Linked DNA regions of Daphnia pulex. The main gene of each other region encodes a partner of the protein of the gene in region 2 in a complex. Links are inferred from orthologs where the notes say so. Each region holds a gene or a part of one and is shown on either strand. Other genes may lie near its edges.

Region 1 (6,673 bases), on a different chromosome or scaffold from region 2:
GATCACTACGGGACGTTTGGAAAGCCACAGAGAAGAGAAGGCACTTGTAGAACTGACAAAATGACCCAATATGAAGCCATAGTAAAAGAAAATGAGCACGCACAATGCAAGTAAGCACCTGCAAACTAATCTAGGACGAATAACCCTCATAGTTTTTTTGAGACTGCGTATACCCAACACTTGACACGTTGCATAGAGCTTCAAAAAATACACACTTCAACGTCAAGCAATAAAATATCCACACGACACCACACACATGCTTGATCCATATACCCTGAATCTACACTCATCACGCTACGCTGTATGTTCAGCGCAGATTATTTTAACAAGCTGACACACAAAATCAACAGATAAAGATTCTTATATATTACTGGGGATCTATTATGGAACACTGACGAAGCTGAATAGCATCGTTAAGGCGCAATTATTTTTCTTGAATGGCGAATTACACGGTTTTCAACTACGTTCAATTAAATTAAACGTTGCTATAATTTCAGATGAGAATGATTCACTTTAAATGGACTGAAAATACACGTCAATCAAAATTTCTATGTATAACTACTGAAACTAGATCTCCCGCACGGATGTTGATAAGACAAGAGGGCAAAATACGAAAAATAAATCGTCGTTGTTTAACAAGACCGCTAGATGCTGCTAGCTTCTAATGAGTAAAAATAGACAAAATTATAAATACTACACTTTTTGCACTGTAAATGTAATTAACTATTTATTAAATAAATTTTACAAAAAAAATTGGTTTTAAAAACTTTAGGAACGATCATAATTGCGTCAAATTACCGTGAATTGATAAAAATAAACGGTAGGCGGAGCTTTTGGCCTCCAAGCGGGAAGCTTGAATGATCGAATGAGAAGAAAACGCGCGAAACGGCAGCGTGGAAACAAGGGAAAACCTTTTGTCGCCCAAATCGCAAGTGAAGAGAACCAGTTCATTAATCATTAGTGAGCCAGCTCATCAAGAGTAATCAGTGTCTACATCACATTTTTGAGTTCGAATGTGCTTTGTGCTGGGCGCTGGGCAAAATGCACGAGGCAATGGAACAATTTCAGAAGATTGAGAAGATCGGTGAAGGAACATATGGCATAGTCTATAAAGCCAAAGACATTGAAACAGGCAAACTTGTGGCTCTCAAGAAAATTCGCTTAGAATCGTAAGTAAATTCCATTGTTTTTGTCATCAGAATGCTTTGGGAGTTTTGATTTCAGATGATTTTATCTGTGATGTGCTAATTTTCATGACATATCACAGACACAATTATCTGAACTTTTCAGCTCGTTAACATCACCCACAACTCATGGCAATTACTTTCATTGGGGTGCAACCTACATAATAACAAAACCGTTTTTGTTGTACAGGGAATCAGAAGGAGTGCCCAGCACTGCCATAAGAGAAATTACTGTCTTAAAAGAACTTGACCATCCACATGTTGTAAAACTGCTTGATGTAGTCCATGTTGAGAAAAAGATTTACCTTGTCTTTGAATATCTAAACCAAGATCTGAAGGTTGTTGTTAAAAGTTGCACATTTGATTTTCACTGAGCTAACACAATTTTATTGGTGCAGAAACTGTTGGATTCGATGCCATGTGGTCTGGAACCCAAAGCAGTCAAGAGCTTCCTCTGGCAGATGCTGAAGGGTATTGCTTTCTGTCACTCTCACAGGGTACTTCACAGGGACTTGAAACCACAGAATCTCTTGGTGAACAAAAATGGTCTGTTAAAGCTGGCAGATTTTGGTCTTGCTAGAGCATTTGGTCTCCCTTTACGCTCCTACACACATGAGGTTGTTACTCTTTGGTACAAAGCCCCTGAAGTTTTGCTGGGAGCAAAGATCTACACTACCTCTGTTGATATCTGGTCGATCGGCTGTATCTTTGCGGAAATGGTAATAGCTTTCTCATCAGTACATTTTTTAAAGTAAAATTAATTCAATCATTTCCTTAGCTTAAGGGTCGTACTGCCTTGTTTCCTGGTGACTCGGAAATTGATCAACTTTTCCGCATTTTCCGAACGATGGGGACACCTGACGAGACCTGCTGGCCAGGAGTATCTCAGCTTCCCGATTTTAAGCCTTCTTTCCCCAAATGGTCGGGTTCCAGTTTTGAAGAAATGTTTCCAAGATTAGATAGCGATGGCCTCAATCTTCTGATGGTTTGTTTACATTTCTACAAAAAAGTTATCGTTCGCAACCAAACCAATGAATTCTTTAATTTTACTTAAACAGAAACTTATGTTATACGATCCGAACAAGAGGTTATCTGCTAGACAAGCCTTACACCATCGCTACTTTTCAGGATTTCAACTGCCCAATTTTGAATAGTCTTTCCAAGCAACTATCCAACAGTCCAACGATTTTACGCTTATGTTCACACAAGTTTATATTTCACTCTCAACCATTCATTTTAACTTTCAGAGCAGCGTTCTATTATTTAAGTTCTACCGTTTCAAAACGTTTACGGAAATGGCCTTACAGCGTGTAGAGAACTGTAAATAGTAACCCGGGAAATATAGAAACAATTAACCGCAAGTTTGTCCAGCGTCGTCGACTTCTATTTTCACTTCCACCTTCTCTATTTCGTCATCGACGCTAATTAGTGGCGACGCAACGCAGATGTCCTGAAAATATAATACGTATAATTTAGAAAAAAAAAACTATTTTGTTGGAACAAAATCCGGTTAATTACATACCTGCTCAACAAGCATCATTGGTGGCATCATTGTGTGATAGACACATCTAGTATTCTCGCTGAAATTGATGACGGGTTCCTTGCATTCGTTATCGTGAAATATAGCCCCACATGGGCGGAATAACATTTGCGACGAATCCTAATCGAATGAATCACAATAGCAATTAATCGAATAATTTGAGGTATGGCAAAATCTTTACATTGAGAACGTGTTTTGTGCAATGCTTCGTAAGCGGAACAGCAGGGTTTGTGCACTTGATACCACAGTCGACGAAGGAACACTTGGGGGTAGGTGGAGCTTTGTAATTGACTCCCTGTGTGACCTGATAGGAGGGAACTGAATTCGTATCAATTACACACAAATTGTTAAAGAGTATAATTTACTTGGAGGCGTTTCTCCTGTAATTGATGATGCAGCAATGCCTCAGAGCCTCGATGTCGCTGGAAACGACGTAAACTTCGTAACTTTGCCACAGCCCTGCGTTCTGACGGCGTATCCGGGTAAGGAGCACTTGCAACTTTGGTAAACGAAAAAAAAGGAGTTGAATGGAACATAATTCAAATCAAGTTGAATGGATTATTACCTCCGTTCTCCTTTTCTCTTTTTACTCCATTGAGATAACGTCTTCGTGCACACTTTAATTGGTGATGCAACCGCTTAAATTGGTCAAGGTACAGCGCTTGCAATTTGATGAGTTTGTCGCGGGTTAGCAAAACCACTTCTTCAGGAGTAAAGACACCAGCATGCCTGCAAGTGAATCATGAGTCATTATAGATAATTTGACTGGGGCCTTATTAAAAACATGCATTTTACCTCAAGGGATCATCTTGGTCGCTGTCAATACTCTCTGCATCAGAGTCATCCTCTTGTCTGATGGTTTGCTCTGCAGTTGGTAGTTCATCTTCACTATCTGATTCACTTGCATAATCTTGCAGTTTTTGTGTGGAAGCATTCAGGGACAGCTTTTCGATTAAACTGAGCGTTCCAGTGGCCTTCTCTTCATTTCCAGCTTCACTGTAGTGCTGCAGATCATCTATGAGAGTTTCAAGGGATTCTGGGGGCTGCCTCTTCCTGAGTGTTTTCATTTTGCACAGGGCCGATCTCTTGGCGTGATCCTGGCACAACCTAAACAACATCAACGATTAGCATCAAACATGTGACAGAAAACCACAAACTTCACTTTCATACCCGTCTCTCCTTTCACCCTTGAGAACATTGGTGGCACATCTTTTACCATTTGAGAAAACAAAAGTGCACGATCTGTAGGGAGCATTTCGATCTTCCGAAATGTGATCGAGGCAATAAGAGAAGCCTTCAACGCACGGTTGAGAGCAATTGTACAGTGTGTTGTGACATGTTGGTTGACTTGGATTGTAGTATTGGGAAGACGATGGTCCCTGATTGCCGTACAAAGCCATAATATATTCAATAAAAACACCACGTTGGAGAGTAGTAGTGTTAATGAGATCTAAGATGATGCAATCAACAACACACACACGGAAATAAAAAGAAACGCTGCCTTGGTGATGGCGGAAAAACACAATCACAAGTGGCGCTACTCCTGACAATTTGTTCTGCGCACGTGATCACGAGTTTCATTAGTTGACCGTTAGATGGCTGACGCTGGTCGTAAACGGTTACGGTTTTTTAACGGATTGAGGACGTGACACGTATTATATTTTATATTGTGTAAAGAAACGGCCTTTTTGTTCCCGAACCCTGGTAACCCGCCATTAAAAAACAATCTAGACAAACGACGTGGATCTGCTTTCTCTCCCAGCTGTTTTTATTTTTGCGGTCACTCTCACACTCGAGCTGATAACAATGCGCGACGCTGACCGACTTTCACGTCGTATTAATAAATAATGCTACACGGAAAAAGAAATCGGAAACATAACAAAATAGTCTATTTTCTCTCTCTCCCCAATAATAAACGACAAACAACAAAAAACGTGAAAGTTCAAAATTGTAATTCAGTCGCTCCAGAGATCTATGAATGAAGTCATCGTTTCGTCCATGACTATGCCATCTGTTAAAATAATCACGTTTTATTTTTTTTTCAAACGGTAAAAAAAACGATGTGATCAACATCAAATGTTTTAGACTGACCGATAATGTCAAGAGGCTGGCGATTGAAGCGACACGAGCAGCCACTTTCCACCATGACCGGTTCTCTGGACAATTCCAAGTCGCTGGTTTCGGGATCGACTCGACCGACGTGCATCATTTCCGGTGTCAATTCCTATTTTTTAAATAATAAATGATCAATAGAAATATGCCCACATCAATTGGCGTCCTATCATTTATCAACCTGTTGGCATTCGGCGTCGAAAATGGAGCTCTGCTCTGTTTCACAACGGCCATAAATTACGGGCTGCAAAATTAATGGCGGCAGTTGAATCACGTGGACTCGCTCCCCTGAAAATCAGTCGTGTGTTTTTTCTTTCTTTTTACAGCATGAAATAAGAATAATTGAACCGAGATATATACCCGTCAAGGCCGAAATAGCTGAAATGGGGAAAAATACGGACATGTTGGCAGGGCAGCAACGAACTTGAATGGGCAGACATGCCATTTTATTTCCAGCGCAGCGTCCGCCATTAATAACAGATCTTTTAAAAAATAATAATAAAAATCCATAAAAATAAAAGCGGGGATAAATGTTTCTTGTGCCACACAAAGTCAAATGTTTTTTAAAAAAGGCGTGTATATATACATTTATAGGTGCACACCGAGAAAACGCGGTAAAAAAAGGTTTACCTTTTATGGCGTTGCTGCAGAGCTGCTGCTGCTGCTGCATCACGGTCGTTCGATTGAACAAGTTGCTGGGCGTATTGGTGTTGAAGGTCGAAATGGCCAAGGGGCTGCTGGTTGATAATCAACGAAGCCTCGACTTGTTCATTTCTCAGGGCCAATCCGCCATGACAGACGACTGGGTCGTCGCAACACGAAACTGTGGTAATATTGTTGCTGTCGTGATTATAATGCCGGGATGGTAATTCAATCAATCCTCGCAGCGATCGGCCACCCAAACAGGATTCCTTCGACGACAATCCTTGGAGATCTGATAGCAACAACCAGCAGGCTGCCAGGATGAGGTAAAGCGACATGATCACCTGCACAACAACTTGTCACGATGTGTGCACCTTTTCACCTATCTCTCTTTATAGCAGCCGATAAATGATTAAAAATAGCAGGGTGGGAGAAATTCAGCCCTCGGCTAAATCTTATTCATGTGGAGCCTCTAAAATTTTTTAATTGAATCAATAAAAACAAGTTTTCTTTTTTTGTTTTAATTTTCTGTCAAACAACTTTTTTTTGTTTTGTATTGGTATATCAACCAGACGAACATCATATATCATCACCCCGGTAAAAAATACAATAGAAAAAAAAAATTTAAACATTTCTATATATAGGAGGAGGATAAGGAGAGAGGGTTAAATCGTGAACAATCAAAATCATTTTCCTCTTTTCCAAATAAAAAAAAAAGTCATTTTTTAAATTTTCACACGAGATTTTTGGAGAAGAAAAAAAAAATAAAAAAAGCAGATTTTGTGTGTGTGTGTGATGAGAGAACCGGTTTTTTCTTGTTGTTGAAAAACTACAATTTTTTTTTTTTAGAAAACAAAAGGAACACGAACGCTCTGGTACATCAGTTTTGTTTGTAACAATTTTTTTTTAATAGTTTTTATATAGATTTTTTTAAAGCTAGCCCACAGTCAGCTGATGAATATATAATATTTTTTTTTAGTACAACAGGTTTTTTTTTTTTTGAAATTTTTCTTACAAATTCACACTCAAACACAAAATTGGAGATTACACACACACACACACGCTGATAGTTAATGAATTACATCACGTGGCAAAACATCGAAAGCCATGAAGAAAGAGTAGAAAGATTGATTTCATGATAATTAAAAACGTTATTAATTATGTATACTGGTTTTTTTTCCCCTTGATTTCGTTT
Region 2 (6,830 bases):
AAGTTCAAGCAATAAAAACGAAAATGATTCGAATTTTTGGAAACTATCATTTCATTACCTGTACTTGTCCTTTCTCCTTGAGAGCATTAGCGAGGTTACAGTACGCTGAAAAGAAAAACGTAGAAATGTGATAACAGATTTAAGAGTAACGTTTAATATTCAAGTTACCGTCCGGGAAATGCGGTTGCAATTCAATTGCTCGTCGGTAGGTATCAATGGCAAGGTCGATAAGACCCTAAAGTGTACCATAAAGCAGCAAGTAAAAAGAAGCCTTTAGGCATTTACATTTTTTTATCACATTTAAGTTTTCAATTACCTGCTCGTAGTACACACAGGCCATATTTCCGTGAACGACGGCATGGTTAGGACTAAGATTTAGCGCCCTTAAGTATGCTGCAACGGCCCTGCAATAATAAAAAAAAAAAAAAAACCTTAAGACTTATATCCCTTCTACAAATATTTAAACGACAGGGAAGTAAAACCAGCCAAGTAATAAACATTGGCAAAATAAGTCTCCAACACTGGCCAGAGTTTATTTTAAAGCTATTTTTAACATTATTTTAGATGCCCACTGGCTAAAATTGTCAACTCGGTTAGTCTGCCGACGCTTGTGTTGAGACGCGCAGATTCCAGCGCACTTCCTTTGTCCTACCCCTCGTTGTTTCGAGCGAATCAATCGATATCGTGCGTTGAAAGAAGAGATAGCACTACATACTAGATATCCTTCTCTTCACTGTCATCGCAGAAAACAGCAAGGAGGACACTCCTCGTTCGCATGCGAATGTTGTAAACACTATACTGCATCAAATAGATCGACATACCGTTTAAGACGAGAAACCACGCAAACCAAACATCCACTGCGCAGACTACTGTCATTCACTGATTGAGCTAGAGAGTGGTAACGACTTTCATCAGCCGAAATGTTGACAATCGTGTAGATAACCACACACTGGTAGTCCATTTGGATAACGTGGGCATGACCTTTGCCCAACGTTACAGAGTTACTATGAATTCTAAAGGAATACTACACGGGCATCACAAGAAAGAAGACTCTGACTTTGGTCAAACAATTAGTTGACAGGTAAATGTTTTCAACAATAAGTGAACGTGTCTGGAGATGTAAAAAATTTCATGACGAACCTAACGATTCAAGCTAGGCAACTGGTGTCTCGTCAAGGATGCCCAAGCCATTTTTATCCCACCTCCCGTGAGTGGAGCGTAACCGATCGGAATGAGCGTGCGCAGTCCCTTCGATTACTCAACTTTCCCCACATCATCTACGGTAGACTGGTCACCCCGCCCCTTAACACTCTAACTACCACCCTCCTCCTCCCCATTAATAAAAAATAAACTAAAAAATAAAAGCACAACCAGAATTAGCACAAATAATTTGAAAATTTAACACAAAATTAACGCTAAAGTTAAAAAATAATTTTCTGATCGCGAATACGAAACTTGGACATAGCTATCGTTATCATAAATACTATGATCATCATTCAGAATAAAAAACTGGCTGGAGAGTCCTCAATGATAGAAATAAAAAATAAATACGTCGGAGGTGATGTTTGGGTGGGAGAAGGAGAAGGGTCCTACCGAAATGAGGGCACGTTTCCTGTGCATTTTTTTTTTTCGCAAGACAGTGGCAAACCAAGAGAGGAAAATAAAAAAAAAGAAGAGCACATACGAGCCAACTCGAAATGACGCAAGCTACAAACGCACGAGACGAGAAATTTACAATCACCGAAACTAACAACATTCTTAACAACTTTTTTCTCGTCCATAAACAACATCTCTTAAAATATCTATTTCCATCCCTCACACTATTTAACCTATCGATATAAGAACTTCGACATCATAATATTATTAAATCTTACCTGTCGAAAATCCTAGCTTCTTTCAGAACATTGCCCAAGTTTATGTAAGCTGTAAAAAGAAATATGATGGTTAAATGAGGTAAATTCACATTTTCAAATGTTAAAAGTATTTTACCATCAAGAAAGTTGGGGTCCAAAGTGACAGCCTTTTCGAAATGATGAATGGCTAGCCAAATGTCCCCTTGCGCGTTAAACACACATCCTACGTTTCGTGAGAAAACAAACACGCATAGATAATTAGCATTTTACAACTTCTGAATAATTGACTAAAACGCATTACCAAGATTGGACCACGCCACTGCAAAATCACCCCGAGTCTCAATTGCTTTCAAATAGCAAGCCTTTCCACATATGAAGTAAAATACGGATAAAATTATTTTCCCAGTTAAATGTTGAAGAATGTCAAATTATGATTATTAATCAGTGTTTCGAATATTAGTAAGCCCCATATTCTGGGTGGCTTACACTGGAGATTACACTTATCATGGGCAATGCGCTGCTGTTAGCTGACAAGGGTAAAGGGTCGCGCGCGCGCAATCGCAAGGGAGCATGGGTAAGGGATAGCGGCTGGTGCGGCGAATAATTTCGCATGCTATGGGAGCTTGAGCGCGTTTAGAGTTGTTTTCATCGCGGCTGCACTTACCGCCTACCGAAAAGAGCAAGTAGAATCCACCACGAGGTTAGCTTTCTGCATTTAGACGTCTAGCTGGATAGAACCTATGGATATATCCTATGTGGTAGGCAGAAGGTTTAGGAGGAGCATATGAAAAATGGCTCGGAGCAGAAGATGCACATACAAATTTTCGATATGTTGGTTCTCCGTGAAAATCTCGATGAAAATATGCTGAAAACTGAAACTATTAACATAATCGTTGAACAGAAGAATGGATTACTGCAGAATTTTCCACCACATTTCCTATAGATATCAAGAAAGTTTATGGAGTGTCGGGATGAACATATCACAGACATTACGTCCTAAGTCTTTTCCACCTAAAAATTTAAAATTCCACTTTGGGGCCATTATCATGTGATGATTATCAACAATAGTACTACACAATAATAATAATCTGAAGCACATTGTATATGAACATTAAACAAATGAGCTGAGCATCCCATATTTCTGATCAATTACTGGATTTCTTTACCTTGGCCTCATCCAATCTTCCAAGAGCTTTAAGCAAGTTCCCTAGGTCACTACGGACACAGTAAAGATCCTAAAAAGATTGATCCTTAATAAGTAAAGGCACTCAATAAAACAAAAGTAATCAACATACTGGATTATACTGCAATGCTGAGACATATGCTTGGACTGCTCCTTCCATATCTCCAGCAGCAACTAAGGCAGCAGCCAGATTAATATAACCATCTATGAAATCAGGCTTCAGTCTAACTGCATGACGATAATTATCAAGTGCTTCAGCCAATTGACCACGTTCTTTAAAAACATTTCCAAGATTTGAATATGCTGTAAACAGAAGAAAAGTTATAGAAATTGTGCATAAACCAAAAACAAATACAATTTAATACTACCTTCAGCTAATAGTGGATTTTGCTTGATTGCTAGAAGGGAAGAACTTTTAGATTAGTACAAAACTCAGCATTAATTCTGCAAAATATCCTTAATTCCTTACCATATGTAGAAAATTGAGCAGACCTGAAACGAGAATACAATTGTAAACATTGAAATCTGTACAAAATGTGTAAAATATTACTTGTCGTAGCGTCTACATTGGAAGTGTATTGAAGATAGGAGTAGAAGGACTCCAGTGTTTGTTGGATCTTGACGCCACAGCTGCATACAGTGACGTTCAGCATTTTCATAATCACCTGCCTGGTATTCTCTGTGGGCTAATTCAGCCAAACCTTAAGAATGAACAACAAAGTTAGTATATTATCAATGCAAATTTTGAAATAAAATTTTTTGACAGAAATGTTTGGTATGTGTTTATGAATGTATAACTTTTTTGAAAAATTGAAAAAAATAGACGGTAAAAACATCATCCTGTTATCGCGTGTTTGATCTAATCTCTGCCCTTCCAATGTTCCAAAACAAATGGGGCAAGATACTAGAAACTTGCTTTGACATTAACTTACTGAAAGATGAAAGTTGATCAGGTATCTTTAGAACAATACCTCCTGCAATTTGTTGATTTTGAAGTGACTGCATTTTCCTGTGTTAAAGTTTGACACTGATGGGAAGATGGAACAAGTAATGGCTACACGATGAGTCTAGATCGTTTGGAAAAGAGACTCGATAACAATGGAATGACTGCTTCACTGTAAGCAAGTGTATGTGCTGCTCAAAGCCTCAAGTGACTTAGTGCGTTTTTTATGCCATAAACTAATCCAGAGGGCGCATCTCTTTTCTATCTGCCGTGCCCCTGATAAGCAATGTTTGATTGAGCATTTGAGTGGTAAGTAGGAGGCTATTATCGTTCATCAAACTAGTGTTTAGTAATAGTCAATAGAAAAAATTTGAAAAACAATTTTAATAGAAATTAAATTTCCCTCGATTAATTAAACAGCGAACCCTTGATAGGCGAGTCAAGTGGCGCCGCCATCTCATTTTCCACAGCCAATATTATATCAAAGGGTAAATGAATTGATGTAATTGAATAACTAATACATCAGTAAAAATCTCGGCCGTTAATTATAACGACATTATAATAAACAAAAAAACAAAAAAATTACAGCAAAAACACTTATAGTTATAGACCGGTAACGGATGCTGAGTTGCCAAGCTTTGAAACTCTTCCTGTGAAAAAAGGTGGGGAAATTGGGATAGGCGGATGCGGTCTAAAACTAGCTTTGTTGTTTAGCTTATTCAAATTTGTTATATTTATCTAGTTAGATAAATTTATTATTAACTTAGTTACTTTGAGAAGAAAACAATAGGTAATTTCTGAGTGATCTGGGCCCGCGCCGCCGTCCGTCCGCCCGCGCTAAATCAAAGGAGTCTAGATCTAGAAGTTGGCAAAATGGTTAGTTCCAAAACTGAGGATAAGTGAGTTTAATCGTTAAATTTCCCACTTTCGTTTTATCCTCTATTAGTTTAATTAGCTCAATTTCAATATTCCGTATAAATTTTCTTTCTCAGCAGTTTTGCAACTTAGCATTCCGGCTTTCTATCAAAGCAGACGACTTGCATGGTATCACATGTGTGAAAAATTCAAACAACTTGTTTGTGTTAGTTGTGAATTTGTGGTTAGGCTACTGATTTCTTAGTGTAAACAAATTCAGATTCACTCGAATCAGATTTACTCTGTTACAGTTATGATTGAGTGGGACTTGATTGAAAACCTTCATCGTAAGCAATACAGTATCAAAATGGGATTTTCGTATACTTTATTATTTCTTATTATACGTTTCCAGGGCGAGGTCTAGAGCACATATTGGATCAAATTTTTGGATATTTGGATTATTATTGTCTTCGACGGGCTGAGTTGGTATCCGTCGTTTGGCAAGAAGCTTTGTTGGAAGGGAAAATCTGGAAAACATTACTCGGTAGAAATGTAAGTAGGCTTATTATGGCAGTGATTATTATGTTGTATCAAACCATGTTATAATATAATTTTGCTATGTATCCAGATGCGTCTCTTTCCATGCTGGAAGGATATGTTTGTTGCCTTGAAAGGAATGAAGCATAAAAGTTTGGATTTTCAAGATGACTCTGCTGAATACTATCGTAAAATTTGCTGTTTAATTGAAGTTGAATTACAGGTCTAACATTTTATTTTGTCATCTTTTTATCATCTTTATCAAGTTTTCTTTGATAATAGGTGCTTGAATCAAATTGGAAGAAGATGAAATACTCTGAACGCAAAAGTGAATTTGGATGCATTTCCCATAATTTATCAACTTTTTATAATTCAGCAGACTATTATGACTTGAATGGAGATTGGATTGTCAGAGTACAGCCAGATCGCAGAATTGTTATACGAAATAGATGGACCCTTGAAATCGAAGATGTATGTTTCTGATTAAAGACCCATAGAATATGGTATTTGATAGTTTTTTTTAATTTATGTGTTATAATTTTTTATATTTTAGGTTCTTGAAATCCCGATCATGCAAATTCAGTTCAACGAAATTATACCGGTTTTGAAATCCGTTAAAATCAACGACAGCTTCATTGTGGCTTCATTTATTCACCATCCGGAAATATGTGTCTGGGATACGAAAACTAGGGATCTAGTATATTATTTGCAATATAAAATTAATGCTTTTTCATCAAGTTTAATGAAATGTATGCTTTATTTCTCTAGCTTTACGTGATAGATATGGATTCCTGTGGCATTCAAGAAGAAGAAGAAAACGACGAAGAATCATTATATCATTCAGAATGCGGACTGAGTCTATGGAAAAACCTTCTGTTATCCTGTTACACTAGGGTAAAGAAAAGTTATTGCAATTTTGCTTGCTCAAGCTAATTTAATTCAAATTTCCTTCTTAAAGTCATTAATAGGTCTATCTTGGATTCTCACTTTGAGATGCTTATCACCATTCATGGGTGAAGAAGTAGTAATACTACATAGGACAGTCATTGTGGGACCCGGAATTATGTGGGGACTTTTCGTGGACGAAATCTACACCGTAATTTTTTTTTTACACTATCAGTCACTATCAGAAGATGTGACTGTTGAAATTCGGAGTACGACATCTTTTGAAATAAAATCCGTTATCAAGTTAAATTCCAAAGACATCCCTTCTGGCTTCCACTATGCGAACGGATTGGTAGTTACTGGCCCTGGTGACCGGGGAAAATCGATTAGGTAACCACGTTCAAATTCATACATTTTAAAACATTAACCAGAATAATTTGGCCCTTTCTTAAAATAGAATTTGGGATGTAGTTACGGGACAATGTATTGTCAAAATTCCCCATCGTGAAACTCTCGCTTCGATCCGGTATTTTACATTAAATATTAAATAAAATTCGATGTCTGATACATATTT
Region 3 (6,830 bases), on a different chromosome or scaffold from region 2:
GAAAATCGCGTTTTGTTTGTTAATGGTGGCCGATAGAGGACGACGACGAGTGCGGCACTACGGTTGCATTGTTTCGCTGCTGCCGCCGCGCAGCCGAATGAAAATGTTTCGTCTGATTGCCTTTTGATTTCGTAGTTCGTACACGGGAAGAAAATGCAAGAAAAGAGAAAAAGCTAGATAATGATAATAATAAACAATAAAATACAAAAAAAAAAAAGACGCATCAGCAGAAAAAAAGGACCCGGAACACTTTTTTTTTTCTAGAGAGTCCGCGCTACATTTTTTAATAATCATTTTATCTTTACCTCTTTGTATTTTTTGGTATTTCTTTTTTCAATTTATTTCTTCTTGTTCTTGGCTCTTCTGTCCCATTTGTTTTTCCTATTCTTCTTCCACCCAGTGAAGCAAAGAACCTGGAGTGGTACGAAAGTAAACAAGAGAGTGTTGCAAAGTAGTAAAACTTTCAGTTGCTATTTTGTGTGTGTCTTAGTGTGCGTGTGTAAGTGTGTGTGTGTTCCCCACCCCCTCATCTCCAATTCCCTCCCCTTTATTCCTCCCTTTTTATCCCGTAACGCAATTGCTCGTGACTGATGTGAATGTGACCTTTTTGAATATATATATACAGTAAATATTTGTTCTTTGGGTTTTCGTTTCTTCTTTTTTGTGTGTGGGGGCGGCTGGAGAGTGGAGACGGACGAAAGGAGGAAAAAGAAAATGTTTGTAATAAAACTTTCATTCCGTAAAAATTCTGCCACTGCTGACAGTACTACTTTTTGTTTTCTTCATTGAGCAACCCTTGCGGCTTAACGACGCTAAAGCCACGTCATAAAGTCAATGCCTTTATAACGTAGTGCACAGCAGTACGTCCTCATCCAGGTTGGGGTTATTTTTCTCTCCCTTTATTTGAAAATAATAAAGAGAAAAAAGAAGAAGAAGAAAAAAGAGGACATTGCTGCTATTGAGCTGTTTGAGCGGCTGCCGGAGCACGATCTCACGGTTGAGCCGGAGGGAGTGTTGCGCGGAATCGTGTTTTATTTTTTTATGCAAGGAAAATCTTCTTTCGGGTATTATCAAGCCACACGGTGATGAGTCGCTCACGATAAAGAGAACGAACGCGACAGCGCGATGCGGGTTGATTATTCTTCCGCCCAGACAGCATCGATTCCCTGTCAAAAAGGGAAGATTAAAAAGGCCTGACGTCGTTCCCTTGGTATGAAACTATGAACAGTATGAAATCGTATGGGCCCGAATAGTCACTGACGCTTCTTTCTCTTCTCTAGTTGGAGAAAGGTTATTCGCCAACTATCCACTCACGTCCGTTCGTACGCACGCACAGTCGTCACTCGTCAGATTTGCATGAGATTGCCGACTATGGGGTTTTGATCGGGAATTTTCCATAAATTGATTGCCATCTCGCTTCGTCAGCTTAGACTTTCTCTCTCCACTTTGCCAGTTGAAACGAAATCATTTAGTTTCCTTCAAACTTGTGTAGATGAAGTCTTCTTCAATGAGGTTTATTCATTTCTCGTCGTTGAGTCGTGGAGTATAGAATGTGGTTTGCGTCTTATTGGTCAAATTCCCAGATTCCAGTTGACTGTGGTAGCAGGACGATATGCGGTGTCATTATTAAGGGTATAGCCGCTCGTGTCAAATTCCTGGAAGAAAATGGCATCCTCCGACAGAGCAGCACTAGGAGCTGGTATAAAATCGTCAAACTCGAGGGAGAACGCTGAACGCCGTTCATCCGTAATTCATTTTTCACAAATTATTTATTATTACGAAAGTATTAATAAAAGTCTCTAAGAAATTTATACTGCGGTTTACAAGAATTTGCTTTAGGCGGTCTCAGAATGTGACACGGAAAATGATTACACTGAAAAAGAAATGTCTGGCATTGTTGCAGCAAAAACATTTACTGATTCACTGCTCTCAGAAAATTTAAATCACTCAGTGTGTTCAGACCTCGTGTCGTGTGACGAAGCAAAAAGTGTTTTCCGAAAAGATGTTATCAAATCAATTAGTCCACTGAATTCATAACATTTCTATAATTCCTCGAATCTTCAACTGTGAAAAGACTTCAGCAAACTCGACAGTATTCGCAAATCAAGGTAAATCTTAAGTTAATTTTATTGGGGTAATTTCGCCTGTACATATCAGTATTATAAGCCAAACACTTATAAATTAGTATATCGCATCCTCAGGAATCGTGCCTTCATCTTTTGCTTTTCTGACAGCTTGATAAAAGTTGGTGAAATCCACGTAGGGACCAATCCTCCCATCTTCATCAAGGAGCATATTCTGAGATTGATTTGACTTGATTTGCTCTGAACTCTCTGTTGAAGATGTAATAGAAGCCTCAGTAAGCGTTTCACTAATACTATTGCCAACTGTAGAAGACAGTGTGTTTAGCTGAGTGTCAAATTTCAATCCCATCGTTGAGGAATCATTGCTGTATGCATTGAGGGAAGTATTATAACTACGTAGTGTGCTACTTGCACTCAGTGGAGCAGACAGTTGAAAGTTGAAATTTCGAATCAGTAATGTTATGTCATCTCGTTGACAGCAAGTGACATGATTTGGGTCCTATTTCATGCCAAGAAAATCAGAATTAGCTTTGCCCAAGACAAGAGTAGTAAACTTCCATACTTCCATATAATGATCGTGATGAATACGTGCGATTCGATCGACAACACCTTGAGCTACACCCGTTATAGTGCTTTGGGATCCAAATTGTTCCACAACAATCTGAGCAATTTCTTTGTTAGCCTGTTCGCTATTTGTCGCTTCTTCTAACGCTCCGTACAATCCTTGAGTCGTTAACAGTAAAAACCTTTAATAAAGAGAAAAACAGTAGATGGCTATGGTTGTTACGGAATTAGATAATTGTCGTAGTTTTTTTTTTTACCTGCAAGACTCATCCAGATTAATAGGTCCTATGATTTCAGCATCAGCAATAACAGGTTCCGCTTTAGCTGCACTGAAGAGATCGAAATCTTTGTAGCCTCCTTTAACAGTATAATTTCCCAAGCAACGAGTCGTTAAATGACTTCCTTTTCTCGGCAAATCTGCACAAATCATTTTGAATCAATTAATTATCTGAGATTAAAAAAGAAAAATAATTGAATCACTTTGAAGTTTTTCCACTTCAAGTCCCATATGCGACAGACGGAGCACTTCATCCTCGTTGGTCAAATCATGATCTACCGTTAGCTGCATTACTCTCAAAACTCCTTCTGCGTCGATTTTACATAATAAAGCTCGGCAGTCTCCAACATTAGCGACATACAAGTGACCTATACAAGTGACCAACAAGAATATCATAGAAATGCTTGTAGTATTGAACCACTGAAGCTGTTGTGGTACCAACCATTAAAGATTAACGCAACTGCAGCTGAGGCACTCGCAGACAACCGAACATTAGCAGCTCTTAGTCGATTCACAATATCCGGAAATTGTTGGTATGCATCATATGATTTGATTCCTATAGTAAGATTAGAGTTTTTGTAAAGAAGGTAAATGTCAGGTCATGCTGTATAAGACAATACCTTCAGGTAATTCACATAAAAGATTTGCTCTCTCAGCCAGTAAGTCATCAATTGATTCGAAATAGCTGCGCTCTACTGCTAGGAAAGCTTCATTTAAGACTTCTTTCACAGCTTCTGGGCTGGTTTTATCATTGAGCTGCCCAAGAAGGATTTCTGCAGGCATGCGCTGTGCAGCAAAATCTGCCACAGAAGATCCATCTTTCCCATTGAATACTCCATACAGGAATGTGTGATCATCAATTTTGAAGTGGAAACTTCTATCTTCACATTCACGGGCCTCTCTTCTATAGCCATCTTCTTTATAGATCTGATTTGTTGATAACCCCACACCTGTCAAAAAGAAAGTTAAGACACATTCAATTATCGGACTAAGATTTTGCTTTATTTAAAAACCTGTGTAGAAGCAAACGGGTAGGTCGTCTGTCCAACTTTTAGTTTCAGAAATTTCTGCTGACATTAGAATGGCTAATCAAGGTTTGCAGTATTATGCAGAGTTCATTAAAGCTAAAGTAGGGTAGATATTCTGTTATACTTATCACCACACTTAACACTATCGTCAGTCCTAACAGAAATGTGAAGTACCTAATGTGCTAATGATTAGTGAACGAAGCGTCGTCTTCTGCTAGTTTGTTTACCAAAAGTGGTCTCGCCATCTGCTATTCACATTGAAAACTATCACAAAAATATTTCCCGCCAAGGTTGATTTTTAAAATTCAGCAGTTCGTTTTCGTAGTTCGTCTTTTCTCTTTTGGCAACAGCTAGGTCCCCCGTCAGCTGGAATCTCACTATTTTAGTATTGTGCATTTGTCTTTTTCTTTTTCAATTTTTATGGAAATGGTCATAGTCAACTTATAATAAAAATGACTTGATTAACTCCAAGCTAAAAGAACATTTTTACTAGGAAGATCGAACCTCCATTGTATATTTGATGGATTTGATGTGCTATGCACAATATGCCTTTCTTAAAGCTTTTATGTTCGTTATTGAGCACATTTTTCCTGAATACTGAATTGTTCAACGTTATTGAGAATTGAGATCCCTAAATGTTTAACTGTGTAAACATTATGCTTTAATGAGTAATTCGTATTTCGATTCGAAATTGTTCTATTTTGTAGTCAATTTGAGTTTTGGTTTTATTACATGTTGATGTTATACTTTTTCGTTTTATTACATGTGGTCTTTATCTTTGCCATAATCACTACCGCAGGCAGACGGGCTCTAACTGGGTTTGGTAGGAAGGTGGTTTCAGATTAAAAATTTCTTCTACAGTATTGGCTTGAATTCATTCCCTGTTTCTGTTTGCAGCCAAGAAATTGTTCGATATGTAAGAACGGGAAACCGAGGACCTGAAGGATTCAGTCCACGATTTTCCCTCTACCTCTCTGCTATGCTGACTCATGGCGCCAGTATTGCTCATCACAAACAGTGACATCATGAAATGAATATGGATTGATCATGTGTTCGAAACTTGGATAAGATTGACAGAGGAATATTTTCAAAAAAGCCGACTGTCCTTCAAACGGTTCGAAATTTGTATAAAGTGAGTTTTAAGCGATAATCATTTAATTTAGTATTCATTTTTATATTGGTTGTTGTAGACCCATCCCCAGCAACGACAACCTGCAGAAGGAAAGGCACGTAAAACTTGTCATGCAGTGGTGTAGAGGTTGGGTGAGAACGACACGTGTTACATAACCATTTGGTATTCATTTTGATATTGGTTGTTGTAGGACCCATCCCCAGCAACGTCAAACTGCAGAAGGAAAGGACAGTCACACTCGAAGGTCACGGAGATCATTACGTTTACGTAAAACGTGTCATGCAGTGGTGTAGAGGTTGGGTGAGGACGGACGTTTTGCATCATTATCAAGCAGGTACAACACCCGCAAGGCTTTAGAGGTGAGGGTGAGAAAAAAAATAGTATAAAAGGAGAGAGAAAAACTGAAGGAAAATCAGTCGAGTGAGCATATCCGACACGGCAACAACTGCAGCGCACTCACCATCTGCATTCTTCACCGTATTGCCAGTTCGCAACCATGGGTAAATATTCTGTCTTTACATTGAGTTTTTTATCAATTATATTTTTGTTTTCCATGTGTTAATATGCCTGTTAATGTTTAATAATAATGTTTAAATTTATTTACTGTTTAGTCAACTATGGCGTCGTGCTCCTGTTGGGTGTTGTATCGTTGATGGGTGGGTCGACCATTGGTGTACCGATGTCTCCTTGGTATGGCGCAAACCAAACTGCAACGCCACCGCCTTCCTACATAACTTACGCAACGACCAGTTTCTGCACCGAGGTCTTCAAGTACTACACCACTAAAGCACCGGAGTTTTATACCACAACTTACGCTGCCCGAGTCACTACACTGACGCCCTGAAGTATTACTCTGCCCCGAGTTACTACACCACCAAGGCGACCGATTACTACATGACAACGCATGCTGCCCCATCCTACTACACCGAGGCTCCTAAGTATTACTCTGTTCTCAGCTACTTACTGCACCGACGCTCCTAACTACTTCTCTATTCCCAGCTGCTACACCGAGGCTCCCGCTGATTACTCCACCAAAGTGGTCGAGTACTACACCGAAGCGGCAAAGTACTTCTCTGCCCCGATCAACTCAACCAGAACTGAGGCGGCGAAGTATTACGCAGTCCCGACTTGCCACAAAAAAGCTGCTCTTTCGTGCTACGTTGAACTGAAACACCACACTGATGCTCCAGTCTACTACATCACGATCTACGTTACACCTAGCTACAACACCGCAGCCCCCAAGTACTACACCGAAGAAGCCGCCTATTACACAACCACGTACGCTGCCTGCTATACTACATCGAGGAATTTAAGTATTACCCTGCTCCAAAGTACTACCAAACTGAGGTTCATATGTATTTCACCAGCAATTTCACCTGACCATGTCACCACTACTTATGTTGCTCCGACCTATACACCAAAGTTCTGAAGTATTTCTCTGGATGTGTTGAAAGATTGCTGAAATACAAGTTTGATTGATAAATCACAAGTGCATGTCTCTATTTTCTCCTCAACTTAAACCTTCTTCCTGCTGATAATCGCATGATGTGAGAAAATATTTCTGAATGTGCTATGTAAACTTACAAATAATTGATCTTGCAAAATACAACAATAAAAATTCAAACTCATTTTGTTTTACATTTCAAAAATATTTACTTTTTTTATAATTAAAATATCCAAAGTAAACCAATATTTCTTAAATTCAAAATCCACATTTTCTGCTAAGTCCAGACTTTTATTTTTTG

The links.
Region 1: UDP-N-acetylglucosamine--peptide N-acetylglucosaminyltransferase 110 kDa subunit-like (region 2) and KAT8 regulatory NSL complex subunit 2-like share a complex: the UniProt entries of both Homo sapiens proteins name them as parts of the NSL complex. The link is inferred for Daphnia pulex from reciprocal best matches to the Homo sapiens genes OGT and KANSL2.
Region 3: the proteins of UDP-N-acetylglucosamine--peptide N-acetylglucosaminyltransferase 110 kDa subunit-like (region 2) and TGF-beta-activated kinase 1 and MAP3K7-binding protein 1-like are in contact, whole or in part, in a crystal structure (PDB 4AY6), measured with the Homo sapiens proteins. The link is inferred for Daphnia pulex from reciprocal best matches to the Homo sapiens genes OGT and TAB1. Residues at the interface, in NP_858058.1 of Homo sapiens: Asp441, His506, His508, His509, Asn567, His568, Pro569, Gly641, Tyr642, Thr643, Lys644, Ala646, Gln849, Phe878, Pro904, Val905, Ala906, Pro907; in NP_006107.1 of Homo sapiens: Pro389, Val390, Val392, Pro393, Tyr394, Ser396, Ala397, Gln398, Ser399.

The regions. Positions count from the first base shown.
Region 1 is NC_060024.1:8,826,198-8,832,870, reverse strand, and holds KAT8 regulatory NSL complex subunit 2-like, read right to left. Parts: upstream 4,265-6,673; 5' UTR 4,125-4,264; coding exon 3,895-4,124; intron 3,832-3,894; coding exon 3,520-3,831; intron 3,454-3,519; coding exon 3,290-3,453; intron 3,224-3,289; coding exon 3,090-3,223; intron 3,029-3,089; coding exon 2,906-3,028; intron 2,845-2,905; coding exon 2,707-2,844; intron 2,635-2,706; coding exon 2,536-2,634; 3' UTR 2,379-2,535; downstream 1-2,378. Other genes in the region: mannosyl-oligosaccharide 1,2-alpha-mannosidase IA-like, read right to left, coding at 1-150; cyclin-dependent kinase 2-like, read left to right, coding at 1,042-1,169, 1,375-1,522, 1,583-1,903, 1,963-2,169, 2,243-2,338; uncharacterized protein LOC124199515, read right to left, coding at 4,680-4,735, 4,816-4,948, 5,018-5,124, 5,197-5,318, 5,467-5,816. UniProt on the Homo sapiens protein: Non-catalytic component of the NSL histone acetyltransferase complex, a multiprotein complex that mediates histone H4 acetylation at 'Lys-5'- and 'Lys-8' (H4K5ac and H4K8ac) at transcription start sites and promotes transcription initiation.
Region 2 is NC_060021.1:543,852-550,681, reverse strand, and holds the start of UDP-N-acetylglucosamine--peptide N-acetylglucosaminyltransferase 110 kDa subunit-like, read right to left. Parts: upstream 4,189-6,830; 5' UTR 4,042-4,188; coding exon 3,969-4,041; intron 3,738-3,968; coding exon 3,587-3,737; intron 3,529-3,586; coding exon 3,506-3,528; intron 3,435-3,505; coding exon 3,405-3,434; intron 3,340-3,404; coding exon 3,149-3,339; intron 3,089-3,148; coding exon 3,020-3,088; intron 2,216-3,019; coding exon 2,155-2,215; intron 2,077-2,154; coding exon 1,990-2,076; intron 1,924-1,989; coding exon 1,875-1,923; intron 1,229-1,874; exon of another isoform or gene 962-1,228; coding exon of another isoform or gene 822-961; intron 405-821; coding exon 317-404; intron 236-316; coding exon 169-235; intron 106-168; coding exon 59-105; intron 1-58. Other genes in the region: F-box/WD repeat-containing protein 11-like, read left to right, coding at 5,148-5,181, 5,247-5,386, 5,463-5,594, 5,654-5,842, 5,925-6,068, 6,140-6,265, 6,330-6,646, 6,714-6,782. UniProt on the Homo sapiens protein: Catalyzes the transfer of a single N-acetylglucosamine from UDP-GlcNAc to a serine or threonine residue in cytoplasmic and nuclear proteins resulting in their modification with a beta-linked N-acetylglucosamine (O-GlcNAc).
Region 3 is NC_060020.1:5,656,013-5,662,842, forward strand, and holds TGF-beta-activated kinase 1 and MAP3K7-binding protein 1-like, read right to left. Parts: upstream 4,169-6,830; 5' UTR 4,003-4,168; coding exon 3,939-4,002; intron 3,876-3,938; coding exon 3,546-3,875; intron 3,482-3,545; coding exon 3,368-3,481; intron 3,294-3,367; coding exon 3,129-3,293; intron 3,066-3,128; coding exon 2,906-3,065; intron 2,831-2,905; coding exon 2,647-2,830; intron 2,584-2,646; coding exon 2,182-2,583; 3' UTR 2,110-2,181; downstream 1-2,109. UniProt on the Homo sapiens protein: Key adapter protein that plays an essential role in JNK and NF-kappa-B activation and proinflammatory cytokines production in response to stimulation with TLRs and cytokines.